2 linked regions of the Lepisosteus oculatus genome follow. The protein of the gene in region 1 interacts with the protein of each later gene in a pairwise test. Links are inferred from orthologs where the notes say so. Each region holds a gene or a part of one and is shown on either strand. Other genes may lie near its edges.

Region 1 (8,396 bases):
ACCGGGTTTGTGGAGACCGAGGTCTGAGTGAGAGCTGAAAACCCAGCCTGCATAGGACAAGTGAAGTCAGGTATCCAGAAATTACAACAGGACAGTAGTATGAACAGCTCTGTTCAAGCAGGATCTACAATCAGCTGGATACTAAAACAGAATCGATAAAAACGCACCGCTCCAATAGCTTTTAAATTCTGTATCTTCTATTTTAACTAAAAAGTTAGTCAAGGCCAGAGAACAGAAAGCAGACAGACCAAGAACAAACAGAGTGATGTCTTTTGTGACGATCTCCAGCCATGACTTCCTTTTTAGTTCAAATAAAAGATAAATAATATGTCGCAGTTAAATAAATAAAGGAATTAAGGAGGAGAATGCCAGAAGAATTCAGTTCCAGAATTACACAAAACTGGCTTTCCAGGATTGTGCCACAGCTGCATTCGAGTAAGTAAACCCACTTGACCATTCTTCCCTCCTATTTGTTTAAAAGGGGAACAGCAACACTATTTTTATATTTCTAATTAGAAACAATCAGCACTGAAGAGTGCATTTCAAACCACAATGAAAGTAAAATGTACACAGAAAATGTGTAAAACCTCCAATTTGCATCACAAAATACACTGAATTTCCAGGTATGTGCAAAGCCATATTCTGAGATTCAGAATGAGGCAACAAAACTTCCGGTGATGTGTTGCGGCCTTATAACATTGTAAACAAGCAGGTTTGTGAATACATCTCTTTTTCCCCGACAGAACTCTGTCTGCAGATAATGTTGGGACAATTCAGCCATGAAATACCTGCTGCACAACCTGTACTTAATCGCTCATACATCAGTCATTTCAGTGACTAGTGAGCAGGAAGGGCCACATTGCTATTCGTGGGAACTCAAATGTGAGTTTGCGACAACATGGCGACTTACAGTACTTTCACAAAGTTGATTATTTTGTACTTAATTCGAAATGTGTAAAATTTTTCTTTAATGTCAATGAATTAATTTTGTTACCGAGATTTAATTACCGGACTGAGAAACTGGGACTGCAGTACGCCTGTAAAACTTAAGCTTCAGGGGTTTCACAGGGCATTTCACTGACTTGAAGGGTTCACTGTTCATTCCCAAAAGTGGTATGACTTAAAGCAACTCCCATTAAAAAAAAGGACACAGCTAGAACACTTTAGTCTCGCATTCTTACCTGAACCAACCAGATGCCATCTTTGGTGTCCTCTACAAGCTCATAGAAATGCATCTCTCCACTAAAAGAGGTGCTGGAGACTGGATCCGAGGCCTCCTCCTCACTCTTCAGAGCTGAATACAGCTCGCCCTCCATGAGATCACCTGCAGGCAGAAATAGTAGTGCTGAATGAAGAAAAAACAGACATGTACATCTGACTAGGCAATAAAACAGATCTGTTGTGGGACATACATGGATATTTGATATGTTACTCACTAAATATATGTCAGTACTGGGGTATGATGGAAATTTTTCTGTTAAGTTCAGCATTTTTCCTTGCTTTCTCAAGAACAAAAAAAAATGTCTGTTGGCAGAGTTTAGTTTAAACACCAACCTAACGAATGAGCTCTTTGAACCCAGAAGTTAAGTTAAAAACATATGCAAATGGATGGATTCAAAACCTTCATTTTAGGAGAGGGTCAGCATAAACCACCTGTTGTAATGCATTTTCAAGATAGTTTTTTTAAAAGAGATTCCTGGTAGTTGTGAAAGGGTTATAAAACATCACTTTTAGGGCACAGAATGTATATTGTTTGATTCAGTGAAAAGGAATTCACCACCGTTCCTTATCGGTACTTTGGAAACGTTTAATATAGATGGAAAAGAAAATGAAAACTATCGAGGGGGAAAAAATTACAACAATTTGAAATGTGTTCAGGAATTTCTGGATGAACAATCACGGACTTGACCACTGCTGTCCAGTCTTTAAAAGATCAAAAGGGGTTAATGAAGCAGTGGTCAATAAGCCATTCAACTCCCGCAGATACAACGTGTAGCGTAAATACCAAAATATTCTGTTCTGTTTTAGATTCTAGGCGTTAGTCGCATTATACTAAAAGTTTCCTTTATTTCTGTGTAGCTGAATTAAACTGAAGACTCACCCCTGTATTTTCTAGCTTCTTAGGTCGTGTGACAGATAACAAGCTTTAAAGCGTTCTCTTTTTCACTTGTCCGCAGAAAAAAGTAGGGACCCTTTCCTGACCTCTAAGTATTAGAAATACCATAGGTTTGTGAACCCCCGTAAAAATAATATTTATGCACGAAAAAAATTTGGACATGAGACAACCGTTGATTTGTAAACTTAGTGCGAAATAGTGGAACACCTCAAATATCTTAGAAAAATAATCATATCACCTAGTTCGTTCTATTAAGACTAAAGTAATTCAAACGATATCTTTGAGAGAATGTTTGCAGCATGGGCTACAAAGGAAAGAATTCCCGTAGCTTTTTTAACCATGCAGTTAATTTTTACAAACAAATATTACACAAATTAGCTCTTCTTGCCATTCTTTAGGTGTAAAAATAAACACAATAGAGACGTGTCGAATGAAGAGGACCCTTTGTGACGTTCTGGCTCCGACACAATGCTTTAGAACTTACCTGATTTCTCGACCAGCTCCCGGACATCCTTCTTCTCCGGGAGCCCGGAGTACCCCAGCCCTCTGCATTCCAGTATCGTCTTCAGCTTCTTAAAGCTCAGCGTCACAGGGTCCACCAGCTGAGTTGCAAAAATACCAGTTTCATACCACACGACAGCTTCGAAAAACCGTGCCAGAACGAATAAGACCAAAAAATACAACAGCAGAAAAAACAGCTTCAGCCACATTTTCCACCTCCTTGCTGCAACGGGAATATTTTTAAAACGCTGGCGCTACGATTTCCGGGTAGGAATAGGCGAGTAACCTACGTTGCATTTGGGGCTCGTCTATTTCTTCCTAAGACTTGCTTTCATTTGCAGGCTTCCCCTTTAGCGCTGGCTGAACTTGAAACTTTTAAAAAACAAAGAAGCAATCCACTCTCCACGATCAGCGAGCTAACAAGGCCCGTTAAGGCCAACTGTACAGTCTCTGGATGTCCACCATTTTCAGAAGTTGTCTTGTGTGGGGAAAAAAAAATCAAATACAGTGCGAAAGCTTAATTTACGCTCTCCCTAAAACAATAAGATGGTCAGCTTTTGCTGCTTATTCCAACCCTCCCAGCGTGCCAATTGTGAGCAAATTCATGACATGTAATGACGAGTTCAGATCACGGCATTTTTAGATAAGCGATAGTTGCCGTTGTCCCTACAGTTGCTGATGTTGGAGCGCCTTGCCTGCCAGATCAGCTGGCATGCATAACAACATGACGTCACCGACAGGAAGGACCGACGAGACTTGTTTCATTTTCTTCCAATGGAAAAGAAGCGAAGCTTTTGGATTCGTAATAAAATAAACCTTGTTTATATCACGCATTGGATTCCAGCATACTGTAAGAGTATAAACCGATTACACGGGCTGTGGTAATTTAAAACCGTTTTTAAACTTACCAAACTAAGAACCATGACCAAAATGTCTGGATACAATACATTTAATTGACTTTAGAAGATGTGTTTATTCTTTAAATATGGTTAGTAGAGTTGTGATGTAAACTGTAAGAATCCTGGAACAGAATTACTTTAATGTTAGCATATAAATTGAAAAGATCGCAAAACGTGGGTTTAGCAGCATTAAAAAGGTTTGTTTTAAAATGCACTGACATTTTCCAAGAATGGTATTTTAGAAAATATCTTCACAAAACAGCAGATCTGGTCTCACAGTACAACAAACGCTTCTGTGTTGTGTAGCAGTGTCCATGTCAAACCCTCAGAACACCCACATGCTCAAACATACATGGCAGAGACACTGCAGCTTTCTATCCTGCCAATATACAGAATGTGTAATAGGCAAAATGAGGCAGGAATAGAAGCTGCAGTTGCTACATCAGCTTCTTACAATAGAGTAGGTATTAAAAGTGGCAATTAAACATGCTTTGTTTTTAGTCAAATAGATTTTGTGTACAACTAAGTGTTGGATAACTGATATCTTTTTGGAGCAAAGAATGTGAGTTTTCAATGAGCACTTTAAAAATATTATTTATATTCCAGATGCTATACATGTTATTAAGACAGCTATTAAGTACCGAATGCTCTCGGAGGAAACTGCAGTTGAAATTGTGTGAGTCATTTGCACTAAGAATGTGATTTCCCTCTCCTTCTCTTGCAACTGTATAGAATTTTCATTTAAATTTCTTTCCAAACAGCATGTAGTTTGATAGGCAAAACTTCTCTGAAATTTAAAGCTCAGTTTTCTTATTGTATTAAATTATTAAATAGTCATATATGTAATGAGTTAATACACCGCATCCGTTGCAGAGACACAACAGTCATCATCAGTCAGGCACATACTTTTTATTGGGCTCTGCAGTAAGTAGTGCCTAGATAAATTAGTAATTGTCTTTTTTTTAAATGTTGTAACTGAAATACACATAGAAAAAAGTCTCAGCCATGGCATGGCTACATGGCTATCGTGTCTGTTATTAATAAAAAAATATAGCATTGTCCATCTCAGTCAATTCACTAGTGGGTGAAGACTTCCAAAAAAAAAACATTTTAGGAACTTGTATTTTCTACTATGTTTGCCCGACTTGTTCTGGTGATTTTCCTTCTTTACTATTTTCTTCTGTATTTACATACACATTATTGTGTAAAACTGTTCTATCCTTTTCATTTAGTGTTTTCCCTGCTTTATGCAGAAACAGAATTCAAGCTATCTTCTCTTGAATATACAGTATAGCCATTGCATTTTAAGATAAGTTCAATCTGATAGATCTGTATATTGCAATGCAAACATAGCCTGTAAGCTTATTGATGTATGGACAGAAATAAATAATAATAATACACTTTTATTTATAAAGCTCTTTTCCAAACCCAAGGACGTTGTACATCATGAATAAAGAAAAACAAATTAAAGTACAATAAAAAGTACACACAAAAATAAACAAGTGCATACAGGGTTTAACAGATGTAGTCAACCAGATGTAGACTTTGGTAAAAGGAAAGTTTTGAGTCGTTTCAAAGAGCTTTTTAAAAAGTTATCTTAAAAAAGTTGTAGAGTCTGAGAAAGGTCATTCCATAACACTGGAGCAGCAACAGAAAAGGTACAGTCACCAAAAGTCTTTGATTTAGTCCGGGGTAAAATGAGCAAAGGACCAGACCATTTAACTATTATTGTTAAATGATATTCCCACTAAGGAAAACCTCATTAAATTTATTAAATGTGTAGAATTAACTACTACAACACTTACCTGTATATGTGCTACTCATGTGGAAGTTACCTCAAGTTCTTCTATACTGGTGCTAGCTAATTCTCACCAATATGAATAAAATGACAAGCTTCTATTTGTTATACTACTACACAACACTTGTGGAGACTTTGAGTAAATTGTTAATTCTCACAACATGAGCCAGCAGCCATATCACCCTGCAACTCACAACTGGCAACCCACTGAAACTAAGCAGGTGTGAGCCTGGTCAGTACCTGGATAGGAGACCTCCTGGGAAAACTAAGGTTGCTGCTGGAAGAGGTGTTAGTGGGGCCAGCAGGGGGTGCTCACCCTGTGATCCATGTGGGTCCTAATTCCCCAGTATAGTGATGGGGACACTATACTGTGAACAGGTGCCGTCCTTCGGATGAGATGTAAAACCAAGGTCCTGACTCTTTGTGGTCATTAAAAATCCCAGGGTGTTTCTTGAAAAGAGTAACCCTGGCGTCCTGGCCAAATTTCCCATTGGCCCTTACCAATCATAGCCCCCTCTATGAATTGGCTATATTGCTCTGCTCTCCTCCCCACTGATAGCTGATGTGTGGTGAGCTGCTGTCGCATCATCCAGGTGGATGCTGCACATGGATGAAGTGGTGGTGGTGTAAAGCGCTTTGAGTGGAGTGTCCAGAAAAGTGCTATATAAGTGTAATTATTATTATTAACACAGACTTTTGCACACTATTGTATATAACACATTACTTCCAAGTTTTCATTTACAAAATATTTAAGAGTCTTGACTTAGACGTGTATCACTGCACTTGTTAATTATTCATAAAATCTTGCTAAATCTAAGGTGTATATTTTTCACAAACTCTCATTTATAAATATAAAAAGCTTCACATCTTCTCTTTAATTTTCGTCCCCTTTCTCCAAAATAAGTACTAATTTGAAATATAATTGGCTAGTCAAACGTAAAATAATCATCAAAACATAACTTTAAACCAATGTGATCAAAATTCATATCAGTATGCACAAAGTGCAGAGCGCTAAATGCATTCGGTGGCAGTTCTGGTGTAACCACATTCTCAGCGCAACTCTTCGCTGCGTCACTGATTTCAGAGTAGTTCGATAATATTACTGCCAAACAGTTAATAAAATGTGCGTGTAGGTCATTAATAAATGGATAAAAAATCTATATGACTACACACTGAATTGATGAAGGGAGCTATATTCAAAATGTCACACAAACTTCGATTTGTAAACATCATTACGAAGTTTCGTAAATTGGTAAACAAACACAAGCCACGGACCGAGCGGACTCGGGATGTCAAACGGAAGTTCCGCTACGCTCAGTCACGCGATTCGCTCGGTCCTGTCACGTGGTACAGCAGGGGACGTGATAACTGATAAAAATGTGCTGTGTTGCTTAAGAACAGCAGGTAACTAAAGCTTCTACAAATTCTACCTTATTCCTTTAGATATATTTTTGCATTTAGGTATATACTGAAAAATTGGTTATGTTTCGCGTGGTCCTAATATTTTCGGCACCCCCCTGTGTGCCAGCCTGTTGGTGTCGCCCTTGGAAATCGGGTCAATGTTCAGGTCCATTAAAAACAAAAACATTCTGCTTACGCCAAAGTTGAGGTGAAGGTGTTTTGGTTTTGATTTTTTTTTCGTGTGCGTGTTTGGCGCTGCGTGTCTTTCCCTTTCTTAAATTCTGATTGTATTTCTGTAGCGCAGACGAGCAGCGTCATGGATCAGTGTGTTAATGTGGAGCGGGAGCTGGAGAAAGTGCTGCAGAAATTCTCGAGCTACGGGCAGCACTGCGATAGGACACTGGAAGAGCTGATCGAGTACACCAGTGGCCTGAAACACGAGATAATACAGACTGGCGGTGAGTTTATATTTTGATGAGGGAAACGTGGAATGTCATCTTTGTGTTTATCGAGCTGTCGTGAGATCATCTTCCAGACCCATGAAAAATGGTCAGCCCGTTTTAGTTGTATGGGCGAAGGCCTACAGCCAGGTTAGGTGTGTAGAAAACTTCGATGTCCGATTGCTTTGTAAACGTGCCAGTTCCGCAGGATTGCGGTTTCGCACAGTTTCGTTTAGGCCTGTTTGTTTCTTGCCTCCGTGAGTAGTCACGTGTTTTCTGCGTTCACGATTTTGTCTCGTCTCAGTGCAGCAAAACACCCGGTACAGTAACTACAGTGTAGTACTGGTACTGTACATTGTGGCGGATATGATCCACTAGTTAACATTTTGAAAAGAAACCACGAAGCGCTGAAAACCCGATAGAAGTCAAAAGCGTGCTTATCATTTAAGTGTTTTTAAACTTGCCGTTTCTGTGTTTTGTATTGGAAGGTCCTGTGTAGTGATGGTTGTATGTGGCTTTCCTTAACTGTACTGATCGTTTCCATTCCTTCTGGTACAGGGGAAATAGTAGTGGCTCAATACTCGGTACAGACCTTAGGCTTCTTAATAAAGACGTTTAGTGCAAATGATCTTTTAGCGACACCCTTTTCATTTAACATGTGTTCGGGTGAGTTTGAAGAAAACGTTTTTTGGCGCAGGAGTCTACTATAACATATCACATGGTCGTGTTTTTAGAGCACGAAGAGCAAAGGTTTAGTACAGCAACGTACAAGCGCCACTTGGGAAAATACTTATTTCCCCAGACCTGTTGCTTTATTGCGTATCGGGAGGTGTTGTTTCCATAACGAATTGAAGAACGACGTTTTAATATGCTACATAATCGATCGCTATGCTACAGTTATACCTGGACTGCTATACGGCCATTTTTCATGGACATGCCGTGACATGTCATCCTTTTTGGTCCTTAAATCTCCAAGGAATTTTCAAATATCGTAAAACGTCCGGGATTTTTCCTTGTTCTTTTTCCCCAAAGGTTTTCGAAGCATAATGGTTCTTGGGATGAAAAGAGAGTGTTTATTATAGAGTTGTGGACGTGTCTAGCTTGGTACCCCGTTCAGTTTTAGTTCTGAACAGGAATTATTTTTTCGCAGCCCCTCAGCAACAATGTCTGTCTTATCTGACCCAGTACTATACAGCACTTTTTAAATTATATCTGTGATATTTTGTTTTGCTGTCCCTAAA
Region 2 (8,305 bases), on another chromosome or scaffold:
ACAAAATATGTGAATAACTGAATTCATAGCTAAATCCACAAATATAACCAATTGTCTATTTCAGGTACTGTAACTGAAAATCAGTACGAATTAAAGACATCTTAACTACCCAATGAGAAACACACTATTTCTGTGTTACTTAATTCCCGTACGCTTAAATGTTGGGAAGGAGAAAAATTCTGACTGGAATCACATACTAAAAAGTCAAGTTAATAGCTTAACTGTAATGTGAGGCTAGAACCACTGCACTAATTTTAAGATTTGAAACTATCGAGCTATGAGGCGTCTAACAAGGAACATAAGAGTACTTCATATAAAAAGGTCACAGATACAGTGGGAACTGTAATAAAAATTGTAAATTCAGATCGCTTTCATGTTTCTGTTTACAGTGCTACTGATATTTCTTTGCACTTAATCTCTTCCTAGTGGGTATCTGCATCAGCATGCGTAGGCTGCAGAGGAACAAGTAAAGGTTTATTCCAAGCTGGAAAAAAAAGACACAAAGTCTGTGGCTATGGAGCCTTCTTCGGGTGTGGACACCTCATCTCTTTTCTTCTCAGCACGGAATAAACCTTTACTTGTTCCATAATCTCTTCTGTGTCAGGAGCAGGCCACACTGAACTGGGAAACGTTACCTTTTTGCACTTGTCGAAAGCTTCGCCGCAGTTTTGCTGGAGATTTTTGTCTCTTTCTTCTTGGGCTGTGTTTGTTCTCTTTCCTGCTCCTGATGAACACTTTCCCGCTGGTCTATATCCGAGCTTCCCCCGCTTGTACTGGGACTGTCATCGGGTCTTTGTACCTCACTGGACATCTTGGTCCTTCCAATCACAAAGCATAACCCAGACTTTGATTACCACTGCTCTTGACCAGATGTGCTTTCTGCCCATCTCACACTGTACCTGCTCCATGCAGCTATTGGAAACCTGCTTATAATGTCAGGTTTGAGCTAAACTTTCCTGCACCCAGGATATCCTTGATAGCAGCATGCATGGATATTTTTACATGTTGATAGCATCATGTAAGCTGCTGTTCCCAGAGTCTGTCACACTGAGATGCTTATCATTCTCTCTATAGTTAACATACTGTATATTTGTATGTACTGCAGACACCTGATAGCAAAATAATCACTTTACTGAATTTAACAAAATAAGTAAGCTATGGAACACTAAAAATATGGGCAAAAATGCTTGCTTTTGTTATAACTGTAGTTCATATTTCAACAATAATCACCTCTCAGAAAGATTGACATTTCCTTTTGTAAAAGGTCAAAATAGTTATGTGTACGTTTAAACAAATATATCACTTTAAAAAAAATCCTAACTATTGGATTTGATCTAATTAAAAAAACATCCACTCTCAAATCAGTACACTTTTCAATGTCAAAGTCATTTACAGCATATAAATTAATGACGATGAACAGATGTTGATTTAAAATTATTGCTCTCACCCATTACGCTAATCTCTAAATTAACAAAATTATTAGCCTTAGTTTTGTCTGGCAGGTAAGTGCCTTTAGAACTACTGGGAGCAAAGCAAGCTTAACAACGACAAACGCACAAACTTGAGATTGTTATGCTACAGAGTAAATGTAGCTGTACATCTACTCTGTTAGTGCATAGTTAGTGATAGCAAATGCGTATTCCTTAAAAACAGATATACCTGGGGATTTGAGGTTTTGATAGATTTCTTAGCATTCACACAAGACACTGTATACAAAATTCTAAAAACAACAGCACGACCCCTGTACTCGGATAAGAGATGTTTTTCGGTCATGCTTCCTAAGGTCTACAAACCCACAGCACGTTTTAGTCGAACTGAATACCACTAGTTAGAAGTGGCACTTTCATAGCTGTTAAATGTAACATTTATTTATCTCAACTGTGAACAGCAGTCCTCTTGACCAGCAATTTCGATGTTTATTTATAAAGAACACAAAGCGGAAAAAACGTTTACTGTTTTACTGGTCTGTTTGAGGTGTGCATGTGCACAACTGCTCCAAAAAGCAGCAATTAATCGACTATAAAAGCCCATTTCATTTAAAATAGTTAAGATGATGGTTTTTAACGAGTTCCGGCAAGGCATTACAAGGTGTGCGGACTGTTAATCTTTAAAAATATCTGATAGCTCATAAGCACGTGCTTGTTCTGTCAGATTCAGTATCATTTGTTTTTTTTTTAACGATCTGTTTATTTTGATTTCTACTGTTCATTTCTTTCACGTATCTGATGCCTTACAGCTACAATACATTAGGCTGCTTGTCCCTAGAATTCATTGGTAATTCACAAAAAAAAACGTTAGAATCAATCTTATTATATCAAGTAATCTGAATTGCTGATCTTACAAAGCTCTTTGAATCGATGTAAACAAGCGTGAAAACTGCTATCTCAAATCTTGTTGAATAATGAACTTATATCTGTCAAGGGCAATATTTCCAAGTGCAGTTTATTTTTAAGGATATACGCATAAAGTTAAACAAATACCTAGAGTTTTTAGAGTGTCTAACCCTTTCGGCGTCTAGATGTGTTTACATTAAAAGAATCAAGAAAACTCAAAGCATTGTGTACCTTTGTTGTGTAAATAAATGCCCGCTTCCCATACAGACCTGTCAAAATGCCGCAGATGAACGTTAAACTGCACAAAATGCAAGCTCCGAATTGTGCGCACTACTCAAAACGATGCCTTTTAAAAAGGCCTTACAGTTACATCCGAGAGTAAAACGCACTGGAGTCTGTTTGCTTCAAATCCTTTAAAGATAGAGCTCGTCTTTCTGGCTGCAGGAACTCTAAAATTAAACAGCACCGTCTGCAAGTGAACACTATAGGAGCTGCTTGAAAATGTGTGAAATCATAAGGTTTCTTCACTGACCACAGCGAGAGCTGCTTCAGCACAAAGACACTAGCTAAGCACATCCCCCCCACAATAAAAAAAAAAAAACTGTCACTTTCACGGGACATTTCCTCACTTTTTAGGCAGTTTCAGAGCGGAGTCACAAAGTAAAACTGATGCATTTACCTGTCAGCAGCGGGGTGAGTGGCTGTCGGTGTTAGAAATCACTGTTGTTAACCCCGACGTTAAGTGTCTCCCGAGCAGCTCGCTCTCGCTGCCTTTCTATCTCTGTCTTTCGTTACTAGAACGTATACACAGACAGAACGCAGCCGACAGAAACTGAAGCAGCCGGACCGCCTCCGCGCGCGTTCCCGAGCACTGTTTATGGGGGGGCGCTGCGCGTTCTGGCGCAGCTGGTGCCGGGGGAGGGGAGAGAATGGAGCAGGAAATGTCAATGCGAAATGGGATAAAGTTGTGCGGGGAGGCGCGCTCATGTGGCCTGACTTCTGCGCTGGGGAAGGGAGGTGTGAAGCGGCGTTAAATTCTTTGAGACCGATAGAGATTTTGTTCGCGAAGACTTCTCGAGGTCAGGATCACAGGCGACCTCTGAGAGGAGAGGCAGACAGATAGTAACACTTTTTTTTTCTTCTTAAGAAGGCCAAGAAATAGAGAGGTTCTTCTTTCTCGATTATTATTATTATTATTATTATTATTATTATTATTATTATTATTATTTCGTGTTTCCCATGCTGGATCGCAGAATCACTTCAAAAAGATGTGCATTTGCCAAAAAACACAAAAGATGAACCCCCTGGTGTAGCAACGGTGATAGCTGTATATCTCTGGCGTATTTCTTCCTTTGAAATGAAAAAAAGACGTAAAAGAAAACAAACCAGACCATGTTTTACAAACTAGAAAGTTTCATTTGGAATTTTTATGTTTTATAATTTATTTACCTCGTTTGCTCTAAATGGATTTACACACATTCTGAGTTTTTTTTTCTAATTAAAAGATAAAATGGAAACAAGAAATTTACCCGTCATGTGTTTTAATTAAAAAGCCTTTCAAATTGCAATTGTACTGGTGCCTAAATCACGTTAGTTACAGCAGTTAACGATTTATCAGCTTACTTTATTTAGCTCACTTGAAGATGGGGTTTTCCATAGCAATGACTAAATCTGATTAATTTCAGATCTGTCACAACAGAAACATTGTGGTTTTACACAGTATAAGTTCCCTTAATACAAATTCAAATGTAGCAATACACACTGTTAGCAGAATTCTGATCAATTTAAATTCACATTACTCATGTAAACAACTCCCCTTGTGAGTGGCAACCTTACCGTCAGACAAAAGAAAAAACAAGGAATTCATTTATTTAAATGTTGTTGTTTCCACAAATCTGTAAAAACATCTAGTTTTGATATATTAATGTAGCCTAAAAGATCGAAAAATTAAATATAAAATATAATTTTAATTGCCATGCTACTGTATAAATATATACATATTTTGTAGTATTACTGTACATATCTAGTAAGGCAAAATTAAATGTCCTTAAGTGGTGAGTCTTGAGCGCAAGTGCAAAATTGCCTGAGTTCTAAATTACTCTTTTGCACAAATAATTGCAGCATAGAATATTTTTCAGTATTTCCTTCAGGTTGTATGCAGTTGATTTAAAAATGAGACCACATTATTATAAGTGCTTCATTTATAAATGTATCCCTTACCAGATAGAGGCTTGGAAAGTTTGTTAAAATTGTCTGATTTATCAACTACTGTACGTAGCTCAGGTGGAACATCTAGCTGAAAATCTCCTTGCTTTCACAGACTGAAGTTTGTGACCCCTGCTTTTGAAAGCAGATAGCCATGTGCTTTGTTCTTCAGTTCTTGACTCAGAGCAGTTCAATAGCTATAGCTTCTTTATTTTAGCTGCTGCCTTGCAGGCTATAGGTTGGCTGGCAGCCTGTAAACCAAACATCACACATTGAGAGATGAGTGTGAAGAAAGCATAGCTGATGTGGTAATATCGTTAGTGACTCACTTTGTGTTATTGTGTACAGCCATTTACAAAATGAATGAAACCATTTCAGTTTTAAAGACTGCCAAGTGCTTTCCTAGTGATATAAATTCATTGTTTCTGAGAGGGTACTGCTGTGTTATTCTAAGCTGATGGAAGTGGTTTTGTAAAAGTTAAGTTGTCAGTTTTGCGAAGGGAGTGCTTGGTAGCTGGTGTTGAAAGCTGTTATATCCGTCTGACATTTAATGCTCCAAGCTTATGTCAAAGAGATTTGTAAACCAAATAAGAAATTCCAATATTTAAACTGTGAGGCCATTTTAAAATTACTTGCTTGAATTGTTTTCCAAAGAATCCCTCAAAATCAGAGTAAAGAAATACCAAGCACATACAGCTAGTCAGATTATGATGGGCTATCATATGAGTTTGTGGGGTTTCACATACTGTATAAAAAGGAAGTATTGCACCAGTCATGCTGGTAACTCTTTTTGAATAAGAAATGGAATAAAAAAAACTATTGATTGATGTAACGTATCCAAAGAGTTTGCAAAAGTGGCATATTGTTGTTCGTTATAAATTGAAGTTTAACTGCACTTCATCTTTTGAAGACAAGCGATACTTTTTAATGTCTATTTACATATTTATAAAGCATTTTATAAATACTTTGATAGGAAACATCAGTGACAGTTCAGCTGTGCACACTGATTGTGTTTTAATAATTATCTTTTTATAATTGCTTCAAATTCCTCTGCTTGACTCGTCCCTCTCTCTTTAAAATGTATTTTTTTACATGAACTATGCTTAATGTACCTGCTAAAATAATGATATTCATGCCTTTCACTCTTCTTTTTGAAAATACTGTTTTCTTTTTTTTGTTAATAGATATAGTCTGGAAAACTAACTTCCTGAACTAGTCCACTGTCTATTCTGGTTGTACACTGGCTAATAAATAAGTATCAACAACTGTAAGTTTCCTATTTACTGAAAGAAAATGTAGGATAAATCAATATGAAGTTCATCTTGACTAATGCTGTGGTGGAAGTATGTGCTTCTTTTAAAAGATTATTTCATCTTTAAATGTGTTTCAAATCTAAAATATTTCAATATCTTAAACCAGCTGTTGCCAATGAGTTTTTCTTCAGTATACAAGTTGCAGAACAATACGTGTGGCTGTTGTTATAAACAGAGCGAACGGTAACCCACTGATACTGACATTATTCTGAAGCAAATGCCATGTGCATTTTATGCAGTGGGAAAAACGCTGTGAAAAATTACAGCCAAACTTTCTGTTTCTGCCAAGACATTGAACTGAGAATTGAAAATGGTTGCTGTCATAAAATATCCACACTGATCCACTGGAATATCAATACGTTTCTGAAGACTTTACTGCACAGTACAAACTAGTGCCACTCTGCAGATCCTGGCAGTGGCCTACATAGGAATACAGGCAAGTGTTAAAAACTAAATCTGTGCATAACTAATTGGTTTAGTCAAAATTCCAAGACAGTTTTTTGTATGGCAGCAAAATACCTTACAAGTGACAAGCAACAGTAATAGATTTTCTTCAGAGTTAGTTCTACATTTTTTATAAGATTATTGTAACATATTGAATGCTTTACTTATATTTCCATTTAATCCCAGTGACACTGATAAAAAGGATCTAAAGAATACATTTTTTCTGATTTCCTATTTTTTCCCAATTACAGTCTTCACACACAATTTAAACAGGGAAAACTGAATAACATGCATTTTCTGGGTTTTGTTCTGTTCACTGCATGTTTTAAAAATGAAAAAAATCAATTTCAGCAGCGTGTTCTGTTATGTGGGATAGCTTTGTAGAATATAACTGAATTGCACAGATAAGTTTATAAATGGAGTTCACTACTGTGAGCCCACTGTAGAATTAGAATGAATTCTAATCTAAATCGGCCTTGACTCAGATTACCTAGACTGTTCGCTAAAAAACCCCTTATAGCAATCAGATCAGCATAACAATCATCCAAGTCAGTCAAGGCTAGAAACTAACCCACAACATAGAAGCTTGAATGGCGGTGATTTTAGCTTGTGCATTTGTATATTGCTTTGGCTTATTTGTGTTTTTTCACACTTTGGAGTTAAAGCCGCATTTATGTATGTCTTTTTGTAATATAGATGATATAATGTTCTACAATAGCACATCTCCTAGCATTCTGCCTGGTCATCTCTGTAGTACCGTTTCAGTAGTTTGCACCACTGTGACTAATGGTAAAGGGATTTGATGCATATCCTAATGTGCTGTATATATTGTCCCCTGTTTTCAGCTCCAAGACATGAAAAGCTGGCAGCTTAAACACCTCACATACAGTATATGCAGCTGGAACATGATTTAAACAACATGTTGCTCTGTAGTCGGTTTACTTAATCATATAATACTCAAGTCCCCAGTTAACGTTTTTATTTTTCTCTTTCTCTGGGACTATAAATTGTTTTTAGTGCTTGAAGCATCTCTGCCAAGACAAAGGGGTTATCCAAACCACTTTACTTTCAATGATATGTCGTACAGCTGACAGTATAGTAATATGTACTGTACAATACCTTGTATAGTGGAGCATCAGTTAAGGTGATGCCTATGCTATGTCTGGCAGGAAGGAAATTTGCTTTTAGCTGGGATTAGTAAAAACAAGGATCAGTAATAATAATAATAATAATAATAATAAAAATAATAATTGCTTACACTTATATAGCGCTTTTCTGGACACTCCACTCAAAGCGCTTTACAGGTAATGGGGACTCCCCTCCACCACCACCAATGTGCATCCCCACCTGGATGATGCGACGGCAGCCATAGTGCGCCAGAACACTCACCACACATCAGCGATCAGTGGGGAGGAGAGCAGAGTAATGAAGCCAATTTATAGAGGGGGATTGTTAGGAGGCCATGATTGATAAAGGCCGATGGGAAATTTGGCCAGGACGCCGGGGTACACCCCTACTCTTTTTGAGAAACACCCTGGGATTTTTAATGACCACAGAGAGTCAGGACCTCGGTTTTTACATCTCATCCGAAGGAAGGCGCCTGTTTACAGTATAGTGTCCCCGTAACTACACTGGGGCATTAGGACCCACATGGACCGCAGGGTGAGCACCCCCTGCTCGCCCCACTAACACCTCTTCCAGCAGCAACCTCCCATCCAGGTACTGACCAGGCTCACACCTGCTTAGCTTCAGTAAACACCTTCCTTAAGAACCAGAGCCCTGCAGGTCTTGAAGGCACCTTTCAATTAGAACCTGATTTAGACCTGCAAAACACAAAAGATTGGACTTGTTGTCCCTTTGATTAGATCAATTAAGCGATTAAGTGATTTCTGTCTGAGGAATGACAAAAAGAAACAAATACAGCACAGAAGAACTGGAGTTGCCTACGCTTCTCCCCCTTGTAAACAGATCTGACCCTTCTTTGAAGTGTTAATAAACTTGCTTTTGGCA

What was found. The genes of interacting proteins can lie anywhere in the genome.
Region 2: the proteins of rnf103 (region 1) and ube2e2 interact in a two-hybrid assay, tested with the Homo sapiens proteins (2 studies listed by BioGRID). The link is inferred for Lepisosteus oculatus from reciprocal best matches to the Homo sapiens genes RNF103 and UBE2E2.

The regions. Positions count from the first base shown.
Region 1 is NC_090696.1:35,726,141-35,734,536, forward strand, and holds the start of rnf103 (E3 ubiquitin-protein ligase RNF103), read right to left. Parts: upstream 3,421-8,396; 5' UTR 2,827-3,420; coding exon 2,601-2,826; intron 1,325-2,600; coding exon 1,182-1,324; intron 1-1,181. Other genes in the region: E3 ubiquitin-protein ligase RMND5A, read left to right, coding at 6,604-6,718, 7,015-7,173. UniProt on the Homo sapiens protein: Acts as an E2-dependent E3 ubiquitin-protein ligase, probably involved in the ER-associated protein degradation pathway.
Region 2 is NC_090705.1:30,631,072-30,639,376, reverse strand, and holds the start of ube2e2 (ubiquitin-conjugating enzyme E2 E2), read right to left. Parts: upstream 3,185-8,305; 5' UTR 3,013-3,184; intron 819-3,012; 5' UTR 812-818; coding exon 636-811; intron 1-635.